Linked DNA regions of Saccharomyces cerevisiae S288C. Changing the gene in region 3 together with the main gene of any one other region gives a genetic interaction. Each region holds a gene or a part of one and is shown on either strand. Other genes may lie near its edges. The genes, in order: MTO1, CBC2, EXG1 and CHK1.

The links.
Region 1: mutations in EXG1 (region 3) and MTO1 together harm fitness more than expected from each alone (negative genetic interaction), as found in Saccharomyces cerevisiae (2 studies listed by BioGRID).
Region 2: mutations in EXG1 (region 3) and CBC2 together harm fitness more than expected from each alone (negative genetic interaction), as found in Saccharomyces cerevisiae (2 studies listed by BioGRID).
Region 4: mutations in EXG1 (region 3) and CHK1 together harm fitness more than expected from each alone (negative genetic interaction), as found in Saccharomyces cerevisiae (3 studies listed by BioGRID).

What each region holds. Positions count from the first base shown.
Region 1 is NC_001139.9:53,216-57,372, forward strand, and holds MTO1 (tRNA modification protein MTO1), read right to left. Parts: upstream 2,582-4,157; coding exon 572-2,581; downstream 1-571. Other genes in the region: transcription activator HAP2, read right to left, coding at 1-313; YGL235W (uncharacterized protein), read left to right, coding at 2,064-2,600; ADE57 (bifunctional aminoimidazole ribotide synthase/glycinamide ribotide synthase), read left to right, coding at 3,267-4,157. UniProt on the Saccharomyces cerevisiae protein: Component of the MSS1-MTO1 complex that catalyzes the 5-carboxymethylaminomethyluridine (cmnm(5)U) modification at the 34th wobble position (U34) of mitochondrial tRNAs.
Region 2 is NC_001148.4:210,638-213,351, reverse strand, and holds CBC2 (nuclear cap-binding protein subunit CBC2), read right to left. Parts: upstream 1,195-2,714; coding exon 568-1,194; downstream 1-567. Other genes in the region: CUP9 (Cup9p), read left to right, coding at 1-310.
Region 3 is NC_001144.5:727,102-730,856, reverse strand, and holds EXG1 (glucan 1,3-beta-glucosidase), read right to left. Parts: upstream 1,903-3,755; coding exon 556-1,902; downstream 1-555. Other genes in the region: HRI1 (Hri1p), read right to left, coding at 1-32; ECM38 (gamma-glutamyltransferase), read right to left, coding at 2,806-3,755. UniProt on the Saccharomyces cerevisiae protein: Glucanases possibly play a role in cell expansion during growth, in cell-cell fusion during mating, and in spore release during sporulation. This enzyme hydrolyzes both 1,3-beta- and 1,6-beta-linkages and even has beta-glucosidase activity.
Region 4 is NC_001134.8:747,725-751,697, forward strand, and holds CHK1 (serine/threonine protein kinase CHK1), read left to right. Parts: upstream 1-1,869; coding exon 1,870-3,453; downstream 3,454-3,973. Other genes in the region: HSM3 (Hsm3p), read right to left, coding at 1-79; UBX7 (Ubx7p), read right to left, coding at 337-1,647; DNA-binding protein RIF1, read right to left, coding at 3,632-3,973. UniProt on the Saccharomyces cerevisiae protein: Serine/threonine-protein kinase which is required for checkpoint-mediated cell cycle arrest and activation of DNA repair in response to the presence of DNA damage or unreplicated DNA.

The DNA.
Region 1 (4,157 bases), on a different chromosome or scaffold from region 3:
AGTCGGCAGATGGTTCCATCGTACTGACACTGGAAGATGTATACTGTGACTGTTGTTGTGGTTCCAAGGAGTCCATAACTCTATTCTGTGATGCCCGCAATCTGTTAAACAAAAACAAATCTTCTTCATTTGTAACCCGTTGATCTTCGCCTCTTGGAGAAGGCGCTTTTCCCATATCCAAGGGCATCTCTATGGGCTTCTCTTGAAGAGAGGGACTGCGTGAAGCTGCTGCCGTTGATGTTGCAGCCGCTGTATCAGATTGCAGATCTGTTTCTAATGGATGAAATTTCGCATCCGTTTCGTCTGCTGACATGGCGTTCTTGTTCCTCTTCCAAAAAGAAATGCTTTTCCAAATACAGATGCGATTAGTAAATCAAATTATAAACGACAGTGAGTTGCCCTTTTGCAAGTACCTTCAACACAAACACTTTATTTATTCATCGAGGTCCCCTTGTAAGGGAGAATTAATGTTACGATACAAGAAGTTTTCCGGGTAAGATTGCTAAATAACGAATTTGATGGTTACATACAATGAATTATTTACATATACAAGCTAACGATTAAAGGATATTTACATGACTGGTTGGCTTGGCTTCCGTGCCACACGGTAGAGTTCAAATAGGGCTGCCGCAGTGATACCTTGAATCCGTCTTGCTTGGCCTATGGTCAATGGCTGTACGCGGTTCAAGAGTAGTTTGCATTCAGTGGAAAGCGTGGGTAACTGACGGTAATCGTAATCTTGCGGCAACAGCATATTTTCGTCTGCCTGAAATGCCTTCACAAACTGGTTCTGTTTGACAATGTAAGGTTCGTATTTACCTTGAATGTTAATTTTGGTGACAACATGCATTGGGATGTCCAGCAAATTAATGGGTAAATCGGGAATGCACTCGTAGAGTTTATGTAGATCCATATCTTTGAATCTGAATATTTCCCAAGCAGATCTGTTTTCAGCCTGTGGCGCGATATTAGCCTGTAGTAAGCTAGACCATTTTTGAGAGCTTAGCTTGAAATTTTGAAGCGCCCGTATTGTTTCATCATATAGGTGCTTGTCTCTTGAATATTGACTTAAACGGACAGGAGATATAATCCCTAGTTGAGCACCAATGGGCGTCAGTCTGAAGTCTGCGTTATCGGCTCTTACGCTGATTCTGAATTCTGATCTGGAAGTAAACATTCTATATGGTTCTATGACGCCATTATTGATTAGATCGTCAATGAGCACACCAATGTACGCTTCGGACCTTTTCAAGACCAATTGCTCCCGTTCTTGGCGCGATAGTAATCCTGCATTGATACCTGCAATGATCCCCTGTGCAGCGGCTTCCTCGTAGCCTGTAGTACCATTTATTTGTCCGGCCAAGAATAGTCCATCCACCAATTTTGTTTCCAAGCTAGGCTTTAATTGCCGTGGGTCTACGTAGTCGTATTCCACGCCGTATGCCGGCTGCAAGATCTCAACGTTTGCCATGCCCGGGATGAGCCTCATCATTTGTAACTGGACATCCTCAGGCATAGAATTGGATATCCCGTTCGGATAAATGACGTCGGAGTTGAAACCTTCTGGTTCCAACCATATCTTATGGGAAGATCTATCAGGAAACCTTAGAATCTTAGCTTCGATGGAGGGACAATAGCGGGGGCCTTTGATGGTCGTGTCCTGAATATGAATGGATTGATGCAAGTTATTGCGCAAAAAGTCGTGCATTTGAGGTGTGGTATGTGTGCCAAAGCAATCCAGTTGCTTCGTGGGTTCGACTGACACGGTTTCATTCAGAAAACTCATAGGGACAGGCAACGCATCTCCCTTCTGGACCTCCAGAGCGCTGAAATCAATGGATTCCTTGGCCAGCCTAGCCGGAGTGCCTGTTTTCAAACGCCCTAACTGAAAGCCCACCTCATTTTGTAGAGTATTGCTGATCCCATATGTTGGCTGCTCGCCAATTCTTCCTGCTGCAATACGCTTGTCGCCGATGTGAATTTCTGCACTGAGAAACGTACCTGTAGTGATTATGACCTGATCTGCCCCAACCTGGGTACCGTCATCCAGAACCACACCTTTGATGACCTTGTGGCCACATCCGGGGTCATACAAGATCAAGTCAGCAACTTTGTTCTGCAGCAGAGACAAGTTGGGGTGTGCTTTCTTGTCGGAAAGTTCCCTTTGCATGTATTTCTTATATAACTCTCTGTCTATCTGGGCTCTGGGCCCCCACACAGCAGGACCCTTGCTTCTGTTCAGCATTTTGAATTGCACTCCAGCGAGATCAGTTACTTTGCCCATCAGCCCATCGAGAGCGTCGATTTCCTTTACAAGGATGCCCTTACCCACTCCACCAATAGAGGGGTTGCACGAACACTTACCAATATCTGTTAACGATGGTGTAATGAGAGTAGTATGCGCACCAGTCCTAGATGACGCAGCTGCAGCTTCGCAGCCTGCATGTCCAGCACCGATGACCACGACCTGTGTCTTGGTTGTGGGTTGGAAGCTTGTCAAAGAAGATATGGTCAACCGCCTCCTGAGGACCTGTAAGGGAAATGAAGTACACGAAGACGCCAAGGTTGTTACACGCAGCATCGTTCTTTGGGGCGTTTAGCTGGTATTCTGCAGAAACTATTGGATGCCCTCAAGATTTAAGTGAAGAATTAAACCGCACTTATCCGTCTGTGAAAGATGCCACCATACGTTACCAACCATAAAGAAAGTGGCCGCACACAGGTACCTTAGAGAAGCCACAAGGGCTCGATTACACGGTGGCGATCAAGAGCCATACAAAAGTAGAAGACCCCCGGATGAAGAAGCACCTCTTTGTACGTTCCTTCTGCAACGCCATATCTAAGTAACAAGAAAGAAGCCACAGCATTACTACAACCCCACACAGGGACAGACAGATATCATAAACTTGAATCTACTATATCATACTCTAATAACTACCTAAGCGTTAAGAAATCGTCTAATCTTCAACTGCCGTTGTTCATACCGTGACTAATAGTGGCAGTAAGCAGCTTTTTTTTTTTTTCAAAATTTTTCATTTTTTTTTTCAGTTGACTCGCCCCGTCGGTAGTGACAAGTGCCGACTGACTCGTGTCCTGGTAATAACAGCAATAATGAATATGCGATGGGCTTGAACTTGGTATTTAAACTATGTTCAGAGGCAAGTGCAACCGCTGTTAACCGTCCCAGGAGCTACCACTAGTAGCGCAGTTATTTCTTATTACTTTCTTAATCATAGCTTAAGAGAACCATTCTCCCTCCCCTCACAATGCTCAACATTCTCGTTTTAGGAAACGGTGCAAGAGAACACGTTCTTGTCACCAAGCTGGCTCAGTCACCCACCGTGGGTAAGATCTATGTCGCTCCAGGTAATGGAGGGACCGCAACCATGGATCCTTCGCGTGTGATAAACTGGGATATTACGCCAGATGTCGCCAATTTTGCTCGTTTGCAGTCGATGGCTGTGGAACATAAGATCAACTTGGTCGTTCCTGGTCCAGAATTACCTCTAGTCAACGGCATCACCTCCGTGTTCCATAGCGTTGGTATTCCCGTTTTTGGACCTTCCGTCAAAGCCGCTCAGTTGGAAGCTTCCAAGGCTTTCTCCAAGAGATTTATGTCAAAACACAATATTCCAACCGCGTCTTATGATGTCTTCACTAATCCAGAAGAAGCCATTTCATTCTTGCAAGCTCATACTGACAAAGCTTTTGTCATCAAGGCCGACGGGATCGCTGCTGGGAAAGGTGTTATTATCCCATCTAGCATCGACGAGTCCGTCCAAGCTATCAAGGACATAATGGTCACCAAGCAATTCGGTGAAGAAGCGGGCAAGCAGGTTGTGATAGAACAATTCTTGGAAGGTGATGAAATCTCTCTACTCACCATTGTTGACGGGTACTCTCACTTCAATCTCCCCGTCGCACAAGATCACAAGAGGATCTTTGATGGCGACAAGGGCTTGAACACCGGTGGGATGGGTGCCTATGCCCCCGCTCCTGTGGCCACACCATCTTTGTTGAAGACCATAGATTCACAGATTGTGAAGCCTACGATTGATGGGATGAGACGTGATGGTATGCCCTTTGTTGGTGTGCTGTTCACCGGGATGATTTTGGTGAAGGATTCTAAGACAAATCAACTTGTTCCCGAAGTGTTA
Region 2 (2,714 bases), on a different chromosome or scaffold from region 3:
AACCAAGATTCAACTTTCTAATTGGTTCATAAATGTGAGAAGACGCAAAATATTTAGTGATTACTATACCCTGGTAAACTCAATTCCTAATGACAACGCGAATAATACCCCAGTGGAACGAGTTCAAAACGTCTCAGCATATCATAACACATTATCTGCCACAAATAATACTATGTACGATGCTACGTCAACCTGCTCCACGGATTATGAATTATCCAAGAGATTTGCTCATGCCCCCGTTACACGCCGTAAAAAACTAATTGATAGGCTGGAAGAATTGAAAAAGCTATCCAACCCTGATATGAATTGATCACTTATCAATGCATTACTTAAATATTCATATAATTATATCTATTACCATTTACATTTTATCGTTACTATATATAGTATTATCATGTCATTGAACGTGTTACGTCTATTATGTTACACTGATTTTTTTTTTTTTTTTTTACATAACAGCATCATGCAAGCCTTTAAAAATAATGTAGGTATGTATATATACAATAATATATATATATATATATATATCTGTGTGTAGAATCTTTCTCAGATATAAATTGATTGATTCTACTGAGGTACGTAGTTATCATCTTCTCTTTCTTCATCGAAACCTGGTCTGAAAGTACCCATTGCATCAGGAGGAGGGATATAATTATTCGTATTAGATTGTGAGCTACTGTTATCAAATCTGGAATGTGGTACGCCGACACGCTCTGCAAATGGAATGGCGAAGCCACCTCTGGATGCATCAAAATCGAACCTCAATTCATCGCTGACTTGACCACCGCTCTTACCACGACCAAACTGTCTTCCATCTTCAAAACCAGGATCTAGATCAATGGTAATTGTCTTTTCGTCTAACTTTGTATCGGACAAATATTTTAAGGCATTCAATGCTTCATCTGGACAACTATATATAATAAAACAGAAGCCACATGGCGTGAACTTAAAACGGTCCAAACCCATAATTATTCTTTTTATTGTGCCACATTTACTGAATAATTCGTAAATTTGTTCTTCTGATGTATAAAAGGAAAGATTTCCTACATAAATTGTGGATGACTTCATCGACTCACGCAGTTCTTGTAGCCCGTTAGGGTTTCTTCTAGCCTTGCGCAGCAGGTACCTTGATGGTGTATCTAGGCGTTTAGTTGAATGATCATATTTAACTTCGTCAAATTCTTCCAGGGACATCTTTCCCTTTATTTATTGGTATATTAATGGATGCAACTTTTATTCGATATTAGTCCTTTCGGGACTTTAAAAGCTGTCGAGACACTTTCTCCATATAAACTCATGTTCTATATTCATACATATAATATTTTTCTTGAAAAAAACACAAAAACTGTTAAAGCGGGTAATACTTTGATAAGCACTTATTAACGTTTATACCATACACTACTTCATACACCAATTACAAATCTATTAGTGGTATACTTTTACTGTAGACAATGTGGATTTTGATGTAATTGTTGGGATTCCATTGTGATTAAGGCTATAATATTAGGTATATAGATATACTAGAAGTTCTCCTCAAGGATTTAGGAATCCATGAAAGGGAATCTGCAATTCTACACAATTCTATAAATATTATTATCATCATTTTATATGTTAATATTCATTGATCCTATTACATTATCAATCCTTGCGTTTCAGCTTCCACTAATTTAGATGACTATTTCTCATCATTTGTGTCATCTTCTAACACCGTATATGATAATATACTAGTAACGTAAATACTAGTTAGTAGATGATAGTTGATTTTTATTCCAACATTTACTGGTACAATAGGTGTATGATATTTTCCCAAAGTTTAAATTTATATAATATAAGTGGCTTGTGCATTAATGCTCTTGAACGAAACTGGATAACGAAAACTGCAAATACTTGTAGTTTTAAACAGACACTTTCTGGGATAGGTCTATCAGCGAAGCTTGGGAATGTTTCGCCAAATTACCTGTATCCTTTCATGAGCGTGAGCAGGTTTAGGTCATGGTCACATCTTATTATATAAATTCTTTCAGAAGATTGTCAATTGTCCATCTATCGCCATAGATTATCTGAGAGCGAAGTTCCATTATGTCTACTAGTAGAAAATAATTTGAAGTTGAAATATAATAGCATTACAAAATTTTTTCTTTATATAGTCCGGTCTTGAAGAAGGATAACAATATTAAGTGTATGAAGACACAAGAACTTTTTCTTGGAAATTTGGATTTTTATGGGAGGAAACCTACAGCGGCAATGTATAATTATGATTAGTTCATCCTTTGCTGCCATCTGTTCGCAATTATTCATGCAATTGTATGATTATTGTCAGGCATTTCAACTTCCGGTAGATTCGTTTGTAATAATAGGTGAATTTTGTGTTGACATTATCAAACCGTTAAGATAGTGTTAGTTGCCAATTAGCATTTGCCTCGATAGAATGTGACGTTAGTTGTGGTACTAGGAATAAAAGTTGATGGCCAAACATTTTTCCTGCACATTTCCTTCAGCGTTTTCAGAAAAGAGAATTTGAGTAAAAATATTTTTGATGTTTAGGTTACCAATATCTCATTAATATAAATTTGAAAACAATGAATTTTGGGTTATACTTGGAGTGCATTTTATTGTGGTTAAAGGCTACAATATTAGCTAAACAGAATGTACAAGTAGTTTTCCTGGAGAATAAAAGAATTCTAAAAGAGAATCGATAATTCTATACAATAATA
Region 3 (3,755 bases):
TGAAACAATAATCTTTTTAATAATGCTGGCATTGTAACTTAATTTTTTGTTTGTTGTTGTTTAAGTTCTTTTATCCTTCCTTAGATAACACCTTAAAGCTCCAGTTACAACAGCGGTGAGAATTGACTTTATATTCGGGGCACTTCCGGTTGTTTTACGAACATGTGATTCGGAAATTTTATGCAAGACGACACGGAACGGAACGTATGCCGGCGGAAAAGCTCACGTGTGAAGAAGAAAACAAAAAGAGTAAGCTGGATTTTCTTTTTCGGAGATTCTGTAGAATTTTTTTATTAGTGCAATGAGGTAAAAAGGAAACTAATATTAAATTCTGAAGGTTATGTTACATAGTTTTTATTATTATTATCGTATATTCTATAAGTGTACCATATAAAATAATGTCTTTACTTAGACTTAAGTGAGAGATCTCTGTAAAATGTTGGATAAAAAAGAGATAATGAACTAAAAGGGGTAGATAAATTAACGTTCTGTTAAGTTTTGCTGATGAAAAATAACATTAGAAAATTCAGCTAAAATGAGCGGACTGAGGGCGACTTAGTTAGAAATTGTGCCACATTGGTTTGGATACTTTCTGTCAGTCAATGGTTGAGGGAATAAACCATTGAACATCAATCTTTGAGCATCCCATTCCAAACTAGATTCTGTCTTGTAACACCAGATAATCCAACCCCCTCTCATTTCAAAGGCATCTAGTTGTGCCTCCACATAACGTCTTGTGTTTTCCTTTCTTTCGTCAGACCAGTAAGCTATATCATCGTTGTTAGCACAAGAGCCAATGTAAGAAGATGTTTGGTCACCATTGACCCAAGAACCGTCGTATCTAGCGCCGAAGCCAACACTATTCAACCATTTTGTACAATCAGTCAAAGCGGCAGCAAACTCACCACAAACAGTCCAGTGGGATTCATTCAAAACTCCGGTACCCCATTCACAAGCTACTTTAATATGTTCATCAATGGATCTTTCCAATTGATCAGAAGCAAAGACTTGGTAGTGATGATGGTCGATAGTGACACCCCAGTAGCCATCGTTTTCAGTCATGAAGTCATCCCAATAATTGTATGGTTGGAAAGCGTCATGGATGATGATAACTTGGTCACTCTTGATGTTGTTTCTCAAGTATTCGTAAGCAGGTGCCAAGTAGTCATTCTTCATTTTATCCATGTCTAGAACAGGACCCAATGGCTCATTAATCAATTCGATACCAATAACAGTGTCCAAGTATTCCTCCGCAGAGTATTTTTTCAATATGTAGTTCAAGACATTTGTAGTAACGGCCAAATTGCTGTCTTCCAAAAACTTGTATGAATCTCTCAAACCAGAGTTATCAAACCCGTTCTGCGAACCAGCGGCACCATGCAAATCAACCCAAACTTTCAAGCTGTTGTTTCTAGCCCAACCGATGGCTTGGTCTAGGTAAGATTCCTGTAGGCCGCTAACATAAGGATCATCGTCCAAAGTTTGGAAAGCCCAGTAACCGATAGGAATTCTGACAAGGTTGAAACCTTGGGAAGCAATATTAGCGAAATCTTGTTCTTGGTAGAAAGTAGACCAATGGCTCTGTAAACGGCTTTTAGCCAAATCCTTACCTAAATATTGACAGAAGTGATATTCGTCGACAGGAATTCCTTCGTCGTTGTCATCATTTGTACGGAAAGCCTCGAACAAAGATGGAGTAATGTATGGTTCAAGAAGTAACCAACCACCAATGTTGACACCACGGATTGGTTCTCCGAGGGAACCGTGGTCATAATCGTAGTATCTTTTCTTGTTCTCCTCATGAACAAATTGAATGGAAGAAGGGTCTCTTGCAGGGACTGGGGTAGCGAGTACTGATGACACAGTCAACAACGTACACAGTAACGTTTTAAGCGAAAGCATTTTAGTTGGTAATTAACTAGAAAAAGAAAGTAAACAAAAAATCAAAGGCACGTGTTATTCAAAACTTTTGGGTCCTCTCGTAAACTTTAGTTTTCTATAGTTATTTTTGACTTAGTCAATACATAATAAAAATTACTAAGAAAAGGGAGGGAGTATTTAAAACGTCTGCAAAAACATTACTTTTTCCCAAAAATCCATCCAACTTATATACATTTTTTATCATCCACGCCTTTTTATTTAAAGTGCCTTTCTCTGCAACTGCTCATATGACGATATGAGATGGCAAGTTCAAGTTTGTTACACCGCTTATTGATGTGCACACAGGTACGGAACACGCTAAAATTATAACGGCGTGCTCGAGAGAAAAACCCAACAGGGTTGGTCTGGGCATCTCCAGCAAGCCACGGTTTTAAATTGACAGTGCTTCACACTGCGGTGTTGTCTGGGGCGCCTCTGTATTTGCGGCAACGCGCCTGGTTACGGGCTTGTCTCAGGCTCGTGTGCACCGCACTGTAAACACAGGGAGGATGACTGGGTCAGGTCCCCACGGTTTATTTATAGTAAACAACAATGCGCGTATGTGTGCGTATTAATGCTATAAAAAGAAACGCGCAGTATCAAGCCATCAGATTTTTTTAATAATGGTAAATACGTATGCTGGCATCGTTCCGAAGTCGCGTCTCGGCTGCAAGGTAGGGAAACTTACTGAAAAAGGCAAAGCTCGCATGATCTGGATTTTTTGTTTTGTTTTAAGGGCGTATGCCCTTTGTTAATGAAAAGTAAATATTGATTCTTTAAAAATAAACGCAAGCCCAGTATTTATTTATATACCACAGAAGCAGGCTCCCTACATTACGTACTATTATCTTGAACTATATTACAGTACCATTCTTACCCCACATCTTAGTATACGGAGGAGATTCCTCTTTTTCTCCAATAGTCACTCACCGCATGCCATTCTCCCCTGACATTGCGTATAGCATTAACTACGCTCTTGGGAAATACTTCTTTCATCGTATATCCCATTTCCTTGAGAGTGCTTAGTACGGCTTTACCGATCATGGGGAAGCTTTCCAGTTCTATGCGGTCGGGCAGTAACTGGTGGTGTATACGTGGATAGGCTATCGTTTCCAATATAGGCATGTTATACCAGTACGTCCTCACAATTGTTTGTAAAACACTCGTAGTGATTCTTGAGCCGCCGGAAGCGCCGACCACGAGGTCTGGGATGCCTAATTCTGACAGCACAATAGTGGGTGCAGTGGATGATAGGGGTCTTTTCCCGGGCTCGGGAAAGTTGTATATGGAGGGTGCCAATTCAAAACTATTAGATTTGTTGAATTGAGCGAAATCGTCCATTTCATTATTGAAGATCACCCCGGTTTTTGGGTCGTGTACTAAGGAACCGAACAACAAGTTGATGGTGGTTGTCAAGGAAACAGCATTCCCATGTGAATCTACTATACTGAAGTGGGCAGTTCCATGCGGGTTATTGATATCGTATGCCGGATCATAAAGCGTCCAGTTTTCTAAAGTTTTAAAATTTCCGTCTTGAGAGTTTCTTTTGATTGATTTCACTGCTTTCAAAGCCCATTCTGGATCCAATACCTCTTCTATATGCTTAGGTAATGCTTCGCCTTCAAAATCGCCTAACCTGCTTCTTGCGCTTGCCATCCATTTCATGCTTTCAAGCAAATGATAGGTAGTTTCTTTTTCATAATCGCCCCCTTCTTGATTCTGGAAATTATCCATTATCCTTAACGCCGCAAGTAGTGCAGCCCCGGAACTTGAGCCGCTACTTGTTAATACGGTCATATCGTTATCAGGGATGAAATTGGCGCCCTTCCTAATTT
Region 4 (3,973 bases), on a different chromosome or scaffold from region 3:
CAGGCAAGTTATCTTCATTAAGTTCATTTTCTAATTGCGTAAGGAGATTTTCCACGTAATTTGTTTCTTTCTCACTCATTGCTCCTGTTTCGCTGAGTTCTTTTGCGGTGATTATAGTTGTAAACTTGTTTTATTTTTAATCCCGTAATTAAGGTGTTTATATAAACTTACTCTTCAATTTTTCTATATGCATTTGAAACAGAAAAAAAGATATAAAAATACCAGCTATAACAAAAATCCATGTAAATAAAATTACTGTATATTTTTTTATGTAATCTAATCAAAAAAAATTCACGTCTAATACTAGTCATAAATGGAGTTGAAGCCATTAACTACTTATTTTTTATCTTCGTCCTTTTTCTTTTCTAAATGGACATTATTACCATTAAAGGTTGTTGGGTCTTCAGGATCTTCTTGATGATCGTTGTTAACAAATTGGAAAACATTTGGCGAGACAGAACGTGACGTAGTAAGGTTGGTTTCCGATGGGTACCTGGTTCCGCTAGGTGTCAGCATTGGTGATGCATGAGCAGATGATTGAACTGGTTCCCGAACATTGTTGTATTGGAAACAGCTTGACGAAGCAGCTCCAGATAAAGGTGTTGAAGACCTCACTTCGTGACGATTCGGCTTCGATGTTTCCTCACGTTGTGATGTTACTTCAGGATCTTTATCGTTGTGCCACCACGTAGAGAATCCCTTATAAAGACGGCCCAAAAGGCTTGGTCCCTCCATCCCAGTCACAGATAGCCCCGAGTTTTGAGTTTCTAGTGGTTTAAGTAATAATGCAGACCTTGGAGTTAGTTCTAGTGTCTCTAGCGTCTTCAATTCATCAGAATCCTTAAATGTCACTCTGGGAATGCCCCTGTGGAATGAGTACGGGCAGTCTCCATCTGTCCTGTTGACGTCCACCCATTTTCTAACGTCATTTAATGTTTCAGACGAGTTGAACTCATGTTTTAGAGTCTTGCCATCAGTCATCCTGATTTGCAAGACGCATTTGCTGCTGTGCAGTTTTTGTGCGTCTTTTATGTAATCATGAACATCCAATGGCTTATCATCATCAAGGGTTCTGTGATGAGTTTCATCAAGAGCTTTTCTTTCTGCACGGTCTGCCCTAACAAGTCTTATAATTCTTTCTCTTTCCTCCTCAGCCAGCTTTCTTTGTTTCAGTTGTTCACGACGTTGGATCTCTAAGGTAGTCTCAGCAATCCGTTCTCTTGCATTTTTCCTATGGACGTCTCTGGATGACTTTTCTTCTCTAGCCAAACCTGGATTGGTTTCCCTGGACGAACTCTCACCAGCCTTTTTGTCTTTGATGCCTATGCACGCCAGCAACTTCTCCCAATGTCGGTCATCCTCGCCTTGAATAATCAATTCTATCTTTCCAGCACGTATCAAGTATATACTGGGTACAACTACATTAGGAAATACTTGCTCAAATAACTGGAACTGCTCAGTGTCTTTGACCAACCTCAACCAAATACTATGTTCCGCTAAAGTATCTAATGAGACATCATCTCCTTTAAACCAACTTTTCAGCCACTGGTCATCCCGTGCAGTGTTGTAAACGGCCAGCACAACGCCTTCCTTGATGGAATCGTTTATTGCTTCTTCCACAGAATCTCTAAACAGTGCTTCTAACATTTGGTTACGGCTGTTTGGTTTAGCTATCCTTGCTTCTTTGTAAGTGCTTTCAACCTCAACCCAGCTCCCTTTTAAATTTTCAACATTACTACGAGGCCTGCCGAAGTTAATAAAGAGCGGCTTTAAATGTCATTTTAATAATTGAATGGCAAATAAAAACAACTACAGCTTCAAACATAAGAGTATATCATAAGTTGCTGTATATGGGCAGCACGTATTACTATGAGTCTCTCGCAGGTGTCACCTTTACCCCATATCAAGGATGTTGTTTTAGGAGATACAGTAGGCCAAGGCGCATTCGCCTGCGTTAAAAATGCTCATCTTCAAATGGATCCCTCCATTATTCTAGCTGTTAAATTCATTCATGTTCCCACTTGCAAAAAAATGGGACTCAGTGACAAGGATATCACAAAAGAGGTTGTTTTGCAATCGAAGTGTTCTAAGCATCCTAATGTTTTGAGACTTATCGATTGTAATGTCTCTAAAGAATATATGTGGATAATTCTGGAGATGGCAGATGGTGGTGATCTATTTGATAAGATTGAGCCTGACGTTGGAGTTGATTCCGACGTGGCCCAATTTTACTTTCAACAGCTCGTTAGTGCTATTAATTATCTGCATGTAGAATGTGGAGTTGCTCACAGAGACATCAAGCCTGAAAACATCTTACTCGATAAGAACGGAAATCTGAAGCTAGCTGATTTTGGGCTCGCCTCTCAATTTAGGAGGAAAGATGGTACATTACGTGTATCCATGGATCAAAGGGGTTCTCCACCCTACATGGCTCCTGAAGTATTATATTCTGAAGAGGGTTATTACGCAGATCGAACAGATATATGGTCTATTGGCATCCTCTTGTTCGTATTGTTGACTGGTCAAACGCCTTGGGAATTACCTTCATTAGAGAACGAAGATTTCGTCTTTTTTATTGAAAATGATGGAAATTTAAACTGGGGACCCTGGTCAAAGATAGAATTTACTCACTTGAACCTACTCCGAAAAATTTTACAACCTGACCCAAATAAGAGGGTGACATTGAAGGCTTTAAAGTTACATCCTTGGGTATTACGTCGAGCTTCATTTTCTGGGGATGATGGTCTCTGTAATGACCCTGAACTCTTGGCTAAGAAACTGTTTTCTCACTTAAAAGTCTCACTGAGTAACGAAAATTATTTGAAATTCACTCAAGATACAAACTCTAATAATAGGTACATTTCTACTCAGCCAATTGGTAACGAATTGGCTGAGCTTGAACACGACTCAATGCATTTCCAGACAGTTTCGAATACACAACGTGCATTTACCTCGTATGATTCAAATACGAACTATAATAGCGGAACAGGTATGACACAAGAGGCTAAGTGGACGCAATTCATAAGCTATGATATCGCTGCCTTACAGTTTCATTCTGATGAAAATGATTGTAATGAATTAGTAAAACGACATTTACAATTTAATCCGAATAAACTTACCAAGTTCTACACGTTGCAACCTATGGATGTTTTGTTACCGATTTTGGAGAAAGCCTTGAATTTATCACAAATTAGAGTAAAACCCGACCTTTTTGCGAATTTTGAAAGATTGTGCGAATTATTGGGTTATGATAACGTTTTCCCACTTATTATAAATATTAAAACCAAAAGTAATGGGGGTTATCAATTATGCGGTAGCATTTCCATCATAAAGATTGAAGAAGAGTTGAAAAGTGTCGGATTTGAAAGAAAAACTGGTGATCCTTTAGAATGGAGAAGATTGTTCAAGAAAATTTCAACTATCTGTAGGGATATTATCCTAATTCCCAACTGAAAAAAATGGAGACAAAAGAAGGGTTAAGATGCACTGATCAAAAAAAAAAAAAAATTCTTTCTACTTATTATATATCTCTCTCGATTTCTAGTGTGTCATCGTAACTATATATTGTTTCGAGAGATTTTATTATTGTAATTAATTTATTGCCATTTTGATCTATTCTACATACTAACAATCAATTCATATCATTATCCCTGTTTGAGTAATATTCGAGCCTCATCATAAAATCTAATAATTCAATTCTCAAGTTTCTTCTTTCTTCCACAGATATTCCGTTCAAGTCGCCCGGTGTGAACCCTCTCAATCTGGCCACTAACCTTCTCGACTTTTTTGAAAAAAAGTGCACTTTTAATGAAGGTGTGGCTTCCCTAGATGTAGCATCTTCGTTACCATCTCCCCCCAACAAAGGTTCGCCATCTGCTTCTGTGTGGGCTTGGCCTAATTGAATTTCATGGTGTTTTTCTTTTCCACCAATTGTTTTTGGTACGGTGTCTAAGCCATTCTGCGCGTTGATATT